2 separate regions of the Mus musculus genome follow, and region 2 is reported to be linked to region 1. The links are microRNA targets in miRTarBase. Many come from high-throughput screens and were not tested one by one. Region 1 holds a microRNA gene; the other region holds the end of a gene's coding sequence.

Region 1 (7,118 bases):
TTTAAATCTTTGCTGTTTTGTTTTTAATGCAAGCATTGGATTTCAAGTGGTTCACTTAGCTGTGTCTCCTTAATCTAGAACAATAACCTCCTAGCATACATCTGCTTTTTTGCTTTGGGGAAATTGGATTCATGCCTGTCATAGATTGTCTGAGTTCTGGATTTCTCAGAAAGTTTCCTCAGGAAATTCATGATAAATAATATTTATTAAAAGTGTTCCATAGGTAATGGGGCCTTGTTGTTGATGCTGCTACACTTGGTCTTTTGGGTACATTTGCAGCTGCCAGGTACCTTTATCTTCTTTTTATTGCTACACAGCAGCTGGTTAGCACTGAGAATGCTCTGTTCTCCCCTCTTCTCACCCCGTGCTTTTAGCATTCGTGTGTGCCTCTCACCTGAATCATTTGAGAGTTTTAAATGGCAGTTTTTCAAATCTATTCCAATTTCTAGTTTAGGTGGCAACCTATGAAAGTTTTCTCATTTTGCTTATATATTCTTAAGAGTAGCTACTTTGGAGAACACAAATGACTAGAAGGAAACAACCCTCAGGAAAGATGACTTGTTGCTGTTGTTATTACTAGCACGGCTGTTTCTGTGACTTGTGTTTTTAGGAGTGTCTCTCAGGATACAGTCAAGAGAAAAGTCTCCAAAACAGAGTGCCTGAAGCAAGGGATGGCACTGGCCTTGGTGAGTGCGTGTTCATCATCTTTCCTTTTTTTTTCTTTTTAACTTCTTTGAGAGTTTTCAACAACATGTTCTGATCATATTCTGTTCCCACACATACCTCTTCCCAGATCCACCCTAGCAAGCGTGCATACTCTTTGGCTCCCCTGAATCTGAAGGAGGAGCTTCAGGTAATGAGAGAACCACTGTTGTTCATGGTGTCAGAGGTCTGGCCTGGGGGGGTCCTAACAGACTAAATTTAGCGACTTGTCGCTCAGTCCAATGAGAGAGACGATTGGTAGTGAAGCAAGATAAGAATCAGTTATTTAGCAAGTCCATGTTGGGAAGAAACAGGAAAACAGTGCCCTGACTCAGAATTAAATGGGGGAAAGGACAAGAGCCGAGGTGAAGGGGAGCAAATAGCAGTCCTTGTCAGTCTGTCTTGGACAGACTGGTCAGTCAGTATTTCGTGCTGGTTCTGTAAAGTCCTGATCCCTCCAGCAAAGTCATTACTGCTGAGGCAGCCAGTGCTGGCCAGTGGATCCCATTATGGGTGATCTGTCTGCAGAGTTCTTGGGGTCATGAAAATAACTTATTCTTATCTTGGTGACATTAGCCTTAAAAGGGAACTAGAAGCTGTGTGTAGTGGTATAGGACTTTAATCCCAGCACTCAGTAACAGGTAGATCTCTGTGAGGCCAGCTTGGTATATTTGGTACCAAGTTCCAGGCCAGTTACAGCCACATAGTAAGAGCCTGTCTCAAAAGAAAAGAGGAGTGGGGCTACTAGCAAGGCTAGGGAAATTAGGGACTATCAAGCTTTGTTCGCCAGTTGTCAGAGAGACAGTTCTTGAATGATTAGGATATATGTGCAGAGTTGAGTAGAAATCTGACTTTAAAGTTTAAGGTAGCTAAGGAGACATAGTTGTAGATCCAAGTCTGTGCTTTAAGCCACTGTTAAAACTACTGTGCTTGGGAACAGGGATTCAAAGTTCAAGGGGACAGAAAAGGCGTTGGGCAGGAGCCATTGTGCAAACAGTTCAGGCAGCTGCGCTATGAGGAAAGCACTGGACCTCGAGAGGTTTTACGCCGGCTCAGGGAGCTCTGCAGACAGTGGCTGCGGCCTGAGACCCACAGCAAGGAGCAGATCCTGGAGCTGCTGGTACTGGAGCAGTTCCTGACCATCCTGCCAAGAGATCTGCAGGTCCAGGTGCTCGAGCACCACCCAGAGACTGGGGAGGAACTGGTGGGAATACTGGAAGATTTGCAGCTGGACCGTGGAAAAGCAGGAGAGCAGAAGGTAAGGGGTGCAGGTGCCCATTTGCAGGAAAGTAAGAAGTGAGCCCCCAGGTCACATAGGCGGACATGAGCACAGCAGCGGGCGGGGCACTGCTCACTGCTGGTCAGTGTGGGCCTCGCCTCACCCTTGCCATCCCCGGTGAGGCTGAAGTGTAAGGAGGCTCTCCGTTCTGCCTCTTCTTAGCCTCTTGAAAGGTTTCTTTGTTCTCTTTTCTGACATTGAAGTGGTTTTTTTTGTAAACCGGTTTCCTAATTATCTGTACTTATCTCTAGGACTCAGCCCAAAGAAGCAGACCAACGGTGCTGGTTGGCGAGCCAGCCCCTCGCAGGGAAGCACGGGAGCAGCCTGGGTGTGCGCTTCCTCAGAAGCCTGAGGAGAGAGGTAAGAACCAAATGGCATCTTTTTGCATTTGAATTATGGTAGGCCATGCAGTGCCTCTGCCTTGGCACTCGGCATTTTGGTATTTGTTTTTATTAGGCCTGTTGTGGCTTAATTTGTATACATAATCTAAACTGTAGCCTCTCTAGTCAGTGCAGGTTTTTGTTTTGTTGTTGTTGTTGTTTTGTTTGTTTTTGTATATACAATAAACTTAGTAACACAGTCAAGATTTAAAAGATCTACAACTCCAAACAATTTGAATGAACAACACACCAAGAAGTGGAGCTGAGCCTACCTGTTGCTCTTCCCTGAGGCAAAAAAGTCTCAGACAGAGTTTCCTTATTCCCTTTCCTAGCTCCTTCAAATCACTGTGAATGGCAGTGCTGAGGGTGGGGTGTTAATCAGTTTCTTTGGCTCTGCTTTGTTACTGTTCTATTTCTTACTTTTAGTCTCAGTCTCTCTCTCTCTCTCTCTCTCTCTCTCTCTCTCTCTCTCCCCTCCCTCCCCTCCCCACCCCCTTCTTTTTTTTTTTTTTTTTTTTTTTTTGACACAGGGTCTTCCTGTGCAGCTCTGATTGATCTCAACTACAACTATGTAGATCAGCTGGCCTTGAACTCTCTAATGTCTTTGATGCTTTCACTAAGTTATGTTGTAGTCTTCTCTGTCACTTAAATACGAATGTATAGATGTCTCTCCTTGCTTAGATCCCTTAGTGAACTGGGAAATGCTATTCTGTTTTTTCACATGAAGTACTGTGGCCACATTGGGAAGAGGAACCGAGAGATAGAGCTTTCGCTCTCCTCAGGCAATAGCGAATTGTGCTGCGCCTCCCACTCACCCGCACTCTGTTGGCCTGTTTGTTTCCATTTCCCCTTCCTGTTTCTCTCTTCTGGCTCCCTCCTGCCTCATTCATTCTATCCCCTGCTCCAGGCTCCCCATTCACTCACTGTCTGGGTCAGTGTCCTCGCCTGCTCGCTCACGGGAAGTTAGCTTCCAGTTTCTGGCTTCTTTCTCTCTTTCCATAGTTAAAGAGCCAAGTTTTGTTTTGTGCCCTGAATCTGCTATAGATCCCCTCTGAGGGGAACAAATCATATTTCAACATGATGTTTTTGTGAATGCATTATTCTCAAGGTCTTATGCTCCCGGTACTGTTGATTTATTGTTAAGAACGTAAACACTTTTTCCAAGATTACATACTACTCAGTGATAAAATTGGCACCATGTCAACTCATCTTCATTTGTCAAAGTACCTTCCCTGCTTAACTTGATGGTCCTCGGGTGACCTGATTTATGGTGCTTTTTTGTTTCCCAGGTGACAAATCATGATCAAGAATATGCAGTCATGCTTAGTAGCTTCTGTGTGTGTAACATATGTCACATAATAAAATATAGAACATTTAAAATAAATCACCTCCCACCACAACCCCTGCCCTTCCCCAAAGCCAATCTGGTTAACACTTTCCCAGATGTCAGGCTGGACGTGGTGGTGCTGTAACTGTGGGACCTGAGAGGAGAGGATTAGGTTAGGCCATGTTATTCTGCATAGTGAAAACTTACCTCAAAAAAAACAAACAAAACCACAGTTTCTTGTAAATCACTCTTTATATATATATAAAATAATCATGAGCAAAATTTTGTTGTTGTTTTTTTACTTTGTGAGGATTGAAGCGATCTCATCTCTTAAGAAAACTTTTACAGAGGATCTGGTTTCAGTTCCTGTCAACTACATTGCAGCTCACAACATTCTGTAACTCCAGTTTCCGGGAACTGGACAGCCTCTTACGGTTTCCTTGGCACTGCATGCATGTTGTGTACATGCATACATGCAAATAAAACACACATAACATGTTTTTACATTTATACACATGGCTTTATTTAAGTATTTCCTGCTATTTGCAGATTCCTTTCCCTGAACACCAAAAATAAAATAATTAGTGATATATATATTTACTATTTCAGGTAAAGAGACAAGGAGTGAGAATGGGAATCTCATTGCAGGGACAGACTCTTGTGGAAGAATGGAATCATCTTGTACCATGACTGAACCCATTGAGGCCCAGTGTGAGGACCTGAGCTTGAAAAAGAATCCAGCCATGCCCAAGGAAAAAACTAACAGCCAATGCTTGGAAACTAAGGAGAGACTTGTTCAGAACTCAGGCCTGATTGAACATGACAGGGCACATACAGGAGAAATGTCCTGGGAATCTGTAGGATCTCAGAGTTCTGTTGCTGCTGACCATCAGGAAATCTCTAAAGACAAAGGTCATCCCTGCCAAGAGTGTGGGAAAGTCTTTCAGAGAAGTTCACACCTCATCAGACATCAGAAAATCCATCTTGGGGAGAAGCCTTACCAGTGCAAAGAGTGTGGAAAAGTCTTTAGCCAGAATGCAGGTCTTTTGGAGCATCTCAGGATCCATACTGGAGAAAAACCCTATCTGTGTATCCATTGTGGAAAGAACTTCAGGCGAAGCTCTCATCTTAATCGACACCAAAAAATTCACAGTCAGGATGAGCCCCGAGAATGCAAGGAGTGTGGGAAAACCTTTAGTCGGGCCCTCCTCCTCACCCACCATCAGAGAGTCCATGGTCGTTCCAAAAGACATCACTGTAATGAGTGTGGGAAAGCCTTCAGCTTGACCTCCGACCTTATTCGACATCATAGGATTCACACTGGAGAAAAACCTTTCAAATGTAATGTGTGTCAGAAAGCTTTCCGCCTAAATTCACACTTAGATCAGCATGTTAGAATCCACAATGAAGAAAAACCCTACAAGTGCAGTGAATGCAATGAAGCCTTCAGGCAGAAGTCTGGTCTCTTTCAGCATCAGAGACATCACCATAAAAGCAAACTGGCTTGATGAGGTTCTCTGTTTGAAACATGGAAATGTTACATTGATAAGCAAACAGCGCCTTTTGAAAGAACTCACGACGGCTTCAGGATTCTTGGAAGCCATTTGCCTCCGTTGTGTCCCTCTCTTGGCTTTACTTAAAGTCATAATTAGACTATAATAATTTACCAGAATAGCAGAATCAGAGTTAAACAAATATTCACTACAGAGCTTCTCAGAGCTTTCAGTGTGATAAGTACTTGATTATGTATCTCTTAAGTATTAGCTTTATGTGTGAATGAAGTGTTTGAAATCAGTAAGTCAAGTGCCTATAGATTTATACAGGACAAGATCAAGCTGATATTTTTGTAAGTACTGTAGCAACAGGCTCCTAAAACATAAAATTAATGAGGGTTGGGGATATGCTCAGTGGTTTAACCAAGTTGCTATGCAAGTGGAAGGACTGTTTTGGATCCCCAGCACCCATGTAAAGTCAAATGAGTATGTGGCCAGCCTGTGGCCTGTGGTCCCACCCCTCAGGTGGCAAAAATGGGATCTTTCTAGCAAGCTGGCTAGCCAGACTAGCTGTATCAGCAAACTTTGGACTCAGGGGAGGGAGTTTGGAGAGCAGTCGGTGGAGTTCTTGAGGAAGACTCCTGATGATAATCTAAGTGCACATGTGTCCATACGTATGTAGAGCCATACCTGCAAACATCATACATGTGAAAAGACAAATCCTAAGGAGCTAGAGTTAGCAGTTAACATACCTGCTCTTGCAGAGGACCCATCCATTTTCAGTTCCTAGCACCTCCATAGCACAGCGTCTCACAGTTCCAGTTCTGGGGATCTGCTAGCCTTCTCAGGCTTCTGTACACAGTGGTCCACAGAAACTGGTGGACACACACACACAACTGGTAAAATATTTTTAAGCCCAAAATAAATCTAATAATGCTTAGAAATACACATCCTCAAGGGTCTAACGTAGGTTAACTGAACATTTTCCCTGTTAGGTTCACACAAACACTGGCTTCATATCCACTTTACCTTTGTACCATCAATGAATGCATTTCTGAAAGCTTTTGCTGTTTAACTATAGAACCTACCCTTAGGATTAGCTCATGTCATTTTACATTTCCTGCCCATTTTAACCACAGTATCACAGTGTTTCAAATTATAAATCAAAGTTTTACCTAAACTATGCAAGAGACTTTGAGTCATTTGAGTGAACTGTGTTGAAGTATTCTAAGCAGCGACCTCCTTACTGGGCAGCAACAGTGCCAGTACAGTGACTGCTTGAAGGACACCTTTTTTCATGAATGTCCCATGGGGGGAAATGGGGTTTTCCCCCTTTGATACCAATGATGCAAATTTAAATGCTACTTGTTTTGATATTATTTTGACCATGCAAATCAAATCAGCTCGGAGAGATCATGGCCATCAGGTCATATTGACTGTCTTGCTAGTGATGAAAAGTAATAAGCTTGGAGTCTTCCCAAGCCCAGCACCCGACTGCTAAACATGGCTTATGGTTGGTAATTGCACAGGGTGTACTTCTCAGGGAAAGGGCTTCTTAAGTTATGCCGCTTTGGGAAGAGAAGGGGACCCTTGTACTGACTACAACTTGGTTTCACTACACTTGACTTACAAATAAGCCAAGAACTTAGCAACATAGAAATGCTTATTTTTCTTGTCCGATAGAAAAGGATAGTCAGTCCAAAACAGATCCATGGTAAACCTAGTCAGCTTGCTGCCAGTCATGTCTAAGGAGGGGACAGGCCAAGGACTGCTAGGCACCTAGGTGCAATTCTGACATTAATCTTCTGTTTCATGCCCTTTTTTTTTTTTTTTTTTTTTTTTTTTTTGGTTTTTCGAGACAAGATTTCTCTGTGTAGTCCTGGCTGTCCTGGAACTCACTTTGTAGACCAGGCTGGCCTCGAACTCAGAAATCCGCC
Region 2 (7,096 bases), not on the chromosome of region 1:
GTGAGGCAGGCTGCCATTGTGCTCCAGGCTCTGAGATCATGCTACACTGCCTGAGTAGGTTGGCTTGTAGTGAGTCTGAATTGTTTACAATGGGAGTTAACAAGACAGTCAGGCAGGCAGGCAGGCCAGCCATGTGCTTAAAATTTGGGGATCAGGAAAAGTCTTCCCCCAACAGCCTAGGATCATTTCCATGGATGGTGGGTATGGGGGGCAGGGGTGTGGGAGAGGTCAACCAATAGGACAAGACCAGTCTTCTTCATTTCCAGAGCCAAAGTCTCAGAATGCTGTCACTTCAGGGTTATATGGGACCTTAAAAACAGTCAGTGCTCTTAACTGCTGAGCCATCTCTCTAGCTGCCCCCCAACCTCTTTTACAGTAAGCAAAGTGACACAGTCTTGCCATAGAGCCTCTAGGTGGCTGGACCAAGACTGATATCCCCAGCTTTTGTCCTTGGCCCTCCCTGGGAGAAGCCAGACCAGTGGCCTGGGCTCTGAGCTGCTTCTGTTCCTCATGGATGGGACAATATTCTGAACTTTGGATGCCAAGTCCGGATTCTTCAAGGGGACTTGAGAGCCTGCCCATCCATGTTTGTCATGGACTAGCCAGAAGCTATTTTCTGACACCAGTTGTAAGGGGAAAAAATAGGGTTGTTTTGTTGTTGTTGAGAGAAAAGGATTATTGGAAGAAGACTCCAGACTTCTCCAAACGTCTATATTTAGATGGCATTGCTCCCTGAGGACTGACTGAGACTTTAAATTTTTCTCTTAGTCCAATTCAGTACTTGGGCTGTGAGCAGTAGAATCCTCCATTTTGACATTTGTTCTTTCTGGTTACTTTAGGATCAGTCCCCGACTAATAAAACAAGATGGTAGATGCCCTCTTCCCTGGACCACACCTCATCTGGATCCCTCAATGCTCTGCATCCATCTGAGCAGGGCCAGCAGCTTTCCCACCTGTCCTTGGAACTGGGAGGGACCAGAGGCCACCAATTTGAAACAGTGGACTGAGTCGGGACCTTGGGATAGGCCTGAAATATGTGACTGGTGCTCATAGGGCCACCTGTCCCTTGCCCATCCCAACCTCCTGGTATCCAAGAAACTGCAGCTACAGGGAGTGAACTGTTGACTCCCATCTCCTGCCTTAACACATCCCTCAGGTCACAGTGTCTGTGTTCCCATGTGGTTCTCCAGGTTGCTGTCTCGCTGTGAATGTCCAGTGTGTGACGGACCTTCTTGGCCATGTTGGTGTCCCGTCAGCATGTCTCACAATGGACATCAGGTGAATCTTTGTGAGTCTTTGGAGACAAGCCACACAACAGAAGTTGTCCCTTACCCTACTTAGGGCCTGCTGCACCTTCTAGGAGGTCACTGGCTAGTTTGGGCAGGCTGTTTCTCATGACCTGAGGGTCTCAGGTCCCAGCACCTTTGAATCTGGATGGAGTCTACTATACCTTCAGTGGGTCGTGTCCCCTCACCAGGGCAGGACCAGTCGGCCTGTTCTGTCCTCCCCACTGCCCATCACCATTGAAGATGGCAGTTACACTGGTCCCATCTGAGGAAGCTCTTCTTGTCCAGCCCTGCCACACAGAGAACCCACATCAGAGTTGAAGAGCCCGTGGGCCACAGTGGTGCTAGGGTTTTGCACCGTTTGTATCTCAGTTAATCCCCTGTTTGAATCTCCCCCAGTCTCCTTTTGCCTTCTGTGCTAGCTTCCTGGGGTAGCTCCTGGGACAGGTGCAGATGTGGATATTGCTGAATTACCTGGATCTCACAGGTTCTGGAAGCACCTGCTTGGGCTACCAGGACATACGTGGGGTCTGGGAGTTCCCTTAGGACATGTGGGTGGAATTCAGGGCTGCATTCTCAGGGTGAGTTGAACCTTTCCTGTGTCCGACTGGTGGGATGTGCGGTCCAGGACTGTAGATCGCTTATGGAAAGACGTCTTAAGTTTCTACCTCAGTTTGGGCAGCAGCCGTCCTTGGGACACATGGACATGATCTGCTGCTTTCAACATTAGAGGAGAGTCCTTGGCCTTAGGACATGCACCGGAGGCACCCGATGGCCACCCAGGTCAGAGAGGGCCATTTTCAGGCCTGCAAGCTGCTGACACCAGTGGCTGAGATGGTGTCATGGTACCAGACCCTGGACTCGAGATCTCCAGAACATCATTCTTTGTTCTACTTTTGGGTACCAGACAGAGCCTCTTCTATACCCTTTCCCCCAAGTGTGCTAACTTGGCCCTCAGCCCAGTCCTGCTTAGTGCCAAGGTAGAGGTAAAGATGAGTGGATTCCCAGGATAGCCAGGCACTCCATGCCTAGTTCTCATGCCATCCCCAGCAACCTGTGCCTTTTATCATTGGATGAAAGGTTCCCACAGAGTAGGACCATACCTCCAAATGATACTCCTCTTGCCCTCTGCTGACTGAGGATGCTTGGTCCTTCCACAAGGGAACCGGTCTCCATGCACCTCACACTGTTCTTGATCTAGAGCCCCAAGATCTGCCGCAGTAAGCGAGGGACTAGTTTGCTGTCTTAAATGAGTCCTTTAGGATGCAGAAAGCCCCACATCCCTAGGTGTGTAGCCTGTGGTGGGTGTGGCTGTGTTTATAGCCCAAGGCCTGCCTGCACCTGAAGCTGAGGAGTGATTGGAGGCTCCTGGAGGATGTAGGCTATTTGGGAGTGTCATGGTTACCCTTCATGGCAACCCTGCGACTTTTAGTTCCAGTTCCAGTGGAGAAGTACATTTTTCACTTGGGAGGCAGAAGCAGGCAGATTTCTGAGTTCGAGGCCAGCCTGGTCTACAAAGTGATTTCCATGACAGCCAGGGCTATACAGAGAAACCCTGTCTCAAAAAAACAAAACAAACAACAACAAAAAAAAGTACTTTTTTTTTTTTTTTTTTTTTAGGAGGGTTGGGGGCCTCCAAATGAACAGCTCTGTATCATACACAAGCCTTGAGTGGGAGACATCAAGTAGGTCCAGGCTTGATCCAAGCTCATCATTTGCAGGCCACTATCCCTTAATAAATGTCACACGGACCCTATTAAATCCTATAGTGGATGTAAAGGGAGGCTCAACCTTGTAACTGCTCAGAATTAAACGACTGCCCTTTCTTTGTGAGGGGTTACTGCCTCTGTTCCTGTGTGTTTCTAAGTGATTGTGGAATGTCAGTGTCAGCTGCCTTGCCTGCCTCTCTCTCCCCATTCCCCCATCTCAGCTACAGTAGCTGTTGGATTACAACTAACTAACTTCTCTCCGGTTAGAGACTTTAAAGGAGAAAACCAGGCCGCTGAAAGATATTTGAATTCTCAGCTGGATACAGTGTTGCAAGCCTTTAAGCACTTTGGAAGACAGAGGCAGGCAGATCTTTTGTGAGTTCCAGGACAGCCAGGACTACATAGAAGAAACAAACAAACAAACATTGAATTCTTAACCAGCCAGGCGGAGAGACAAAACGGTTCCCACGTGAGATGTAGGAGGGGTACGGTGGGAAAGGGGACACCCTCAGATAACTACCCAGCTATGCCTGGCATGGTTGGGAGGCAGGGCACAGACCGTTTCTTCTTTGTTAAAATGCTTTGTTCACAGGCATGCTGGGCCAGAGATGATCACAAACAGCTGCCCCAAGCCTGGGGGCCCTGTCATGGCCACACCCAGCTTGCTCTTGTGGCCCATTGTACTTGTTCAGCAGCAGCACTTCGGCTTCTTGCAGAAGAAAGCAAGACACAGAAAGGTTGGCTGGCTTACCCAGCTGTCACCGCACAGGCACCAACCAACATTCTCACCAAGACCAGCACCCCCTCCTGCTCTGCAGAGGGCACGCCAAGGTTGTGCTCAGGGGGCTGCTAAGCAGACTTCCTGCCTGCTGTCTCAGGGCTGGGTCCTCCAGGAAGCTACAGCCCCGTTTACAGCAGCAGCATGAATTATTTAGCATCTGCACCAGCCAGAGAGCTCTGACCTCATCCTCCTTGGGCCCTCTGGGGCTCTGACCTCATCCTAGTTGAGGAAAGGTATCTGTTAATAGCCACGAGTGGGGGTGGTGGGTCCCATTGGGGTGTTAATAATGGGGTGGGGGTGACTCTTTGAGACCAGCACTCTCAAAGAGACTCAATTAGCCTTGTAGCAGGAAGTGACAGGAAGTGAGAGGAGAGTTCTATAGCATGTGTAGAGATCAAAGGTTGATTACTAGCTGTGGCCTTCCACAGTCCTTTTCACCTTTCCCTAGTCTCTGCTCATCTGTAAAATAGGAGTGACAACCTTTGGATATACTGAAGAGCACTCACACAAAAGTCACATTCAAGCATAGCACTCAAGTGTGTCCTCCCTAGACTATTGGGCCTCTAGACTGGATCATTTGCTGTCTGACCTTGGACTTAACTCTGTTTGTCCCAGGCACTGGATTCCCAAGGTGGGTGCAATAGCTGGGTTGGGGCTTGGAGGTATATGTTGGCATATCTTGGCAGTTCTCTGATGTGTAGGGGGAAACATATTGGTGGGTGGCCTACTTGCACAGGAAATCCAAATAGCCAGGCTGGAGGGCTGGGACCAGACAACTGTCCCCCAAGTACCCATAGGTGTATCAAGAGGAGTGACTGTTGTTCCTCCTCTTTACAAGGAGAGACTGGAGCTCTGAAGAAGTTGTGGAGGCTTCAAATGACCATTTCAGAATGGTAGTAACTCTGGGCCACAGAGCATCCTCATGGTGTGGCCTGACTGTCCTGCTCCATCTGGGTTGGAGTTGGGAAGATACAGCAGTCTCTGCCCGAGGTCTGCAGTAGAACTAGCCAGATGAAAGGTCGCTTCAGGGTTTTGCCTTCCACAGAGGAGCTGAGGGGGTTAGGAGGCTCATCCTAGCCAGCTGTCTGCCTGCAGGTTCCCCCAAGCCAGGGGGAGGAGGAGACGCTCCCTGAAGTGTCCATAAAGAGACAGAAGTTCACATCACCCTCCCAGGGCACTTTGAGGGTGCAAGGGGTGGGGACCTGGGAAGGTTTCACAGAGTCCCAATCCAGAGGTCCCAACCCTGCCAGGACTCCAGGGTTCTGGGCGCAGGAGATCTTGTGCCTCCCTTTCCCACCACAAACACCCCACTCTCTCCTAGGCTCCTGGAGTGTATGTTTTGGGTTGAGGGGAGGGGGCCCTGAATATCTGGAGCTCGGCTGTCACTCTCCTTGTAGGGCCTGATTTCTATTCTCACCTAAGCCCCACCCGGACACCCTGCAGTTGGATCCCCCTGAGTGCCAGCCAGCCATCACCAACTGCCCCTAGCTGTCTCTGAGCCTACCCAGGTCTGGGTGAGGATGGGTAGGGGGATGGGTAGGAGTGTTGGGGTTATTGGGGGCAGCCCACGGTGCCCCAACCCTGCTCTGCTAGCCTCACCTATAGGGATCTGGTGCAGAAGTCTCACCCTATCCACTCCACCAGACCAGGATCATGTCTGACCCAGTCTAGCTCAAGAAGCAAGACCCTATCTGCAAAGAGGGCAGATGCCTGGACCAGCCAGCCTGGGGAGGGAGCCCCTCCACTGTCTTGGTCGGGCTTCAGGGGACAGTCACTACTGACATTAGGGAAAGAAGATATTCTTTTGTTGGGAACAGTGTGTGGTAGATGCTAAGTGGGACCCTCTATCGGCTAGATACCAGGATCTCCAGGTCCCAGGTTGTGACAATCAAAAATGCCTGGGGATGTGACAAATGTTGGTTAGAATTCATTATCCAACCCATGGGTTGGTTCCCTAGGGAATTACAGGGGCCTCAGCCAACCTTACCCGGACCCTGGGAATCCACATAGTCCCAGATTTTGTTTGCTTTCTGGGCTGCTTCTCTGGGGAGGAGCACAGGCAACAAGTGACGGCCAGCTCACTACTTACTGCCTGGTGAGCTGAGCTGTCTTGGGACGAGAATGCCAGCCAGACCAGTCTGTTTGCTGTACACAAACAGCAGGGGATCTGGGCCACCAGAGACCCACAGTCAGGGCCCAAGGTCAAGGGAGAGTCTGGGTAGCAGGTGCCCAGCTGCAGGTCACAGCAGGGGGCAGGCTACACTTGACTGAGCACAGCCCTCTGTCTTGTGACTCTCAGAGGGATAAATGGACCCAACACACACACACACACACACACACACACACACACACACACACACCCCCGTAGCCCGGGCAGATTCCCTAACCAGCCCCTGCACCAGATGCCTAGAGGGAATGCTCGGCGAGCAGGGATGGGGACACGGGGGCAGGATGCTATAGGTCCGGAACTCTACCCCACATGCAAAGAACTTTTCAGGAGAAACCAATCACAGACTCAAAGCAGATGGTTTTAGTAGCCCGCTTATACCAACACCCCCCATATCCAGATGCCCTTATTTGCATAGAGGGACTCTGATAAGAAAGTTGGGGAAATAAAGTTCAGGTTCGTGTGTGTGTGTGTGTGTGTGTGTGTGTGTGTTGCCAGGCAGAGGAGGCAGAGACTTTTACTGCCTTGCTGTTTTTTCTACCCGGTCTTTCTTTCCACCCCTTTCTTTCTCTATTTTCACTGTGGAAAATAAACCATGAATTTGATTTCCTAATTTACTGCAGTGCCGGGGGTGGGGTGGGCTTGGAGGGGGTGTAGAAGGCAAGGTCTTGAACCTGTGAGGCAAGGGCACAACCCCCCACCCCAGCTCTAAATCACCAGTTTTAAAAAGAGGTTTTATTATTTTGGACTCCCTGGAACTGGAGTTACAGGTGGTTGTAAACCACCTACTGTGGGTGCGGGGAACTGAGCTCAGGTCAGGGGGAAGGGCAGCTTGGGTGCTTGGGGCTGGGGAAATGAATAGCTCACTTGCAGCTCCTGCAGAGGACACGGTGGGATGGGCCACTGTCTCAGAGAAGAGGAGGCGGGCTGAGGAAGGCTGACTCAACAGTTAAGATTGCTCTTGGAGGTGTCTGGTTCTCAGGTCCCACAGCAGGTCTCGAGACCACCTGTAACTCCGGCTCCATGTGATCTGATGCCGGATCACCTAGTCTTTGAAGGTTCTGGTATACACACGCATGCACACACACACACACACACACACACACACACACACACACACACACACTCACACACACACCTTAAAAAAAAAAAC

What was found. The annotated mature microRNA mmu-miR-1896 reads CUCUCUGAUGGUGGGUGAGGAG and lies in region 1 at 4,897-4,918, opposite strand. An mRNA with a match to its seed (bases 2 to 7 or 8) in the 3' UTR can be bound and repressed. Matches are read on the target gene's strand: a 7mer-m8 pairs with bases 2 to 8, a 7mer-A1 pairs with bases 2 to 7 and ends in A, and an 8mer does both.
Region 2: miRTarBase lists Gprc5c as a target of mmu-miR-1896. Seed matches in the 3' UTR shown: 7mer-A1 at 1,585-1,591, 7mer-m8 at 2,071-2,077 and 7mer-A1 at 2,832-2,838.

The regions. Positions count from the first base shown.
Region 1 is chr13:21,443,009-21,450,126 of GRCm38, reverse strand. Mir1896 (microRNA 1896) reads right to left here and starts at 4,967; the gene lies at 4,887-4,967. It overlaps Zscan26 (zinc finger and SCAN domain containing 26), which reads left to right. Exons shown (of 6, transcript NM_001347491.1): 2 at 611-686; 3 at 794-853; 4 at 1,643-1,960; 5 at 2,233-2,341; 6 at 4,298-7,118. The coding sequence starts at 672. The coding sequence ends at 5,196. It overlaps 4930470G03Rik (RIKEN cDNA 4930470G03 gene), which reads right to left. Exons shown (of 4, transcript NR_151504.1): 3 at 5,934-6,056; 4 at 3,297-5,205.
Region 2 is chr11:114,869,482-114,876,577 of GRCm38, forward strand. Gprc5c (G protein-coupled receptor, family C, group 5, member C) reads left to right here. Exons shown (of 5, transcript NM_001110337.1): 5 at 840-3,136. The coding sequence ends at 872. Among named protein-coding and RNA genes, the nearest start is that of Cd300a, 17 kb to the right of the region's middle.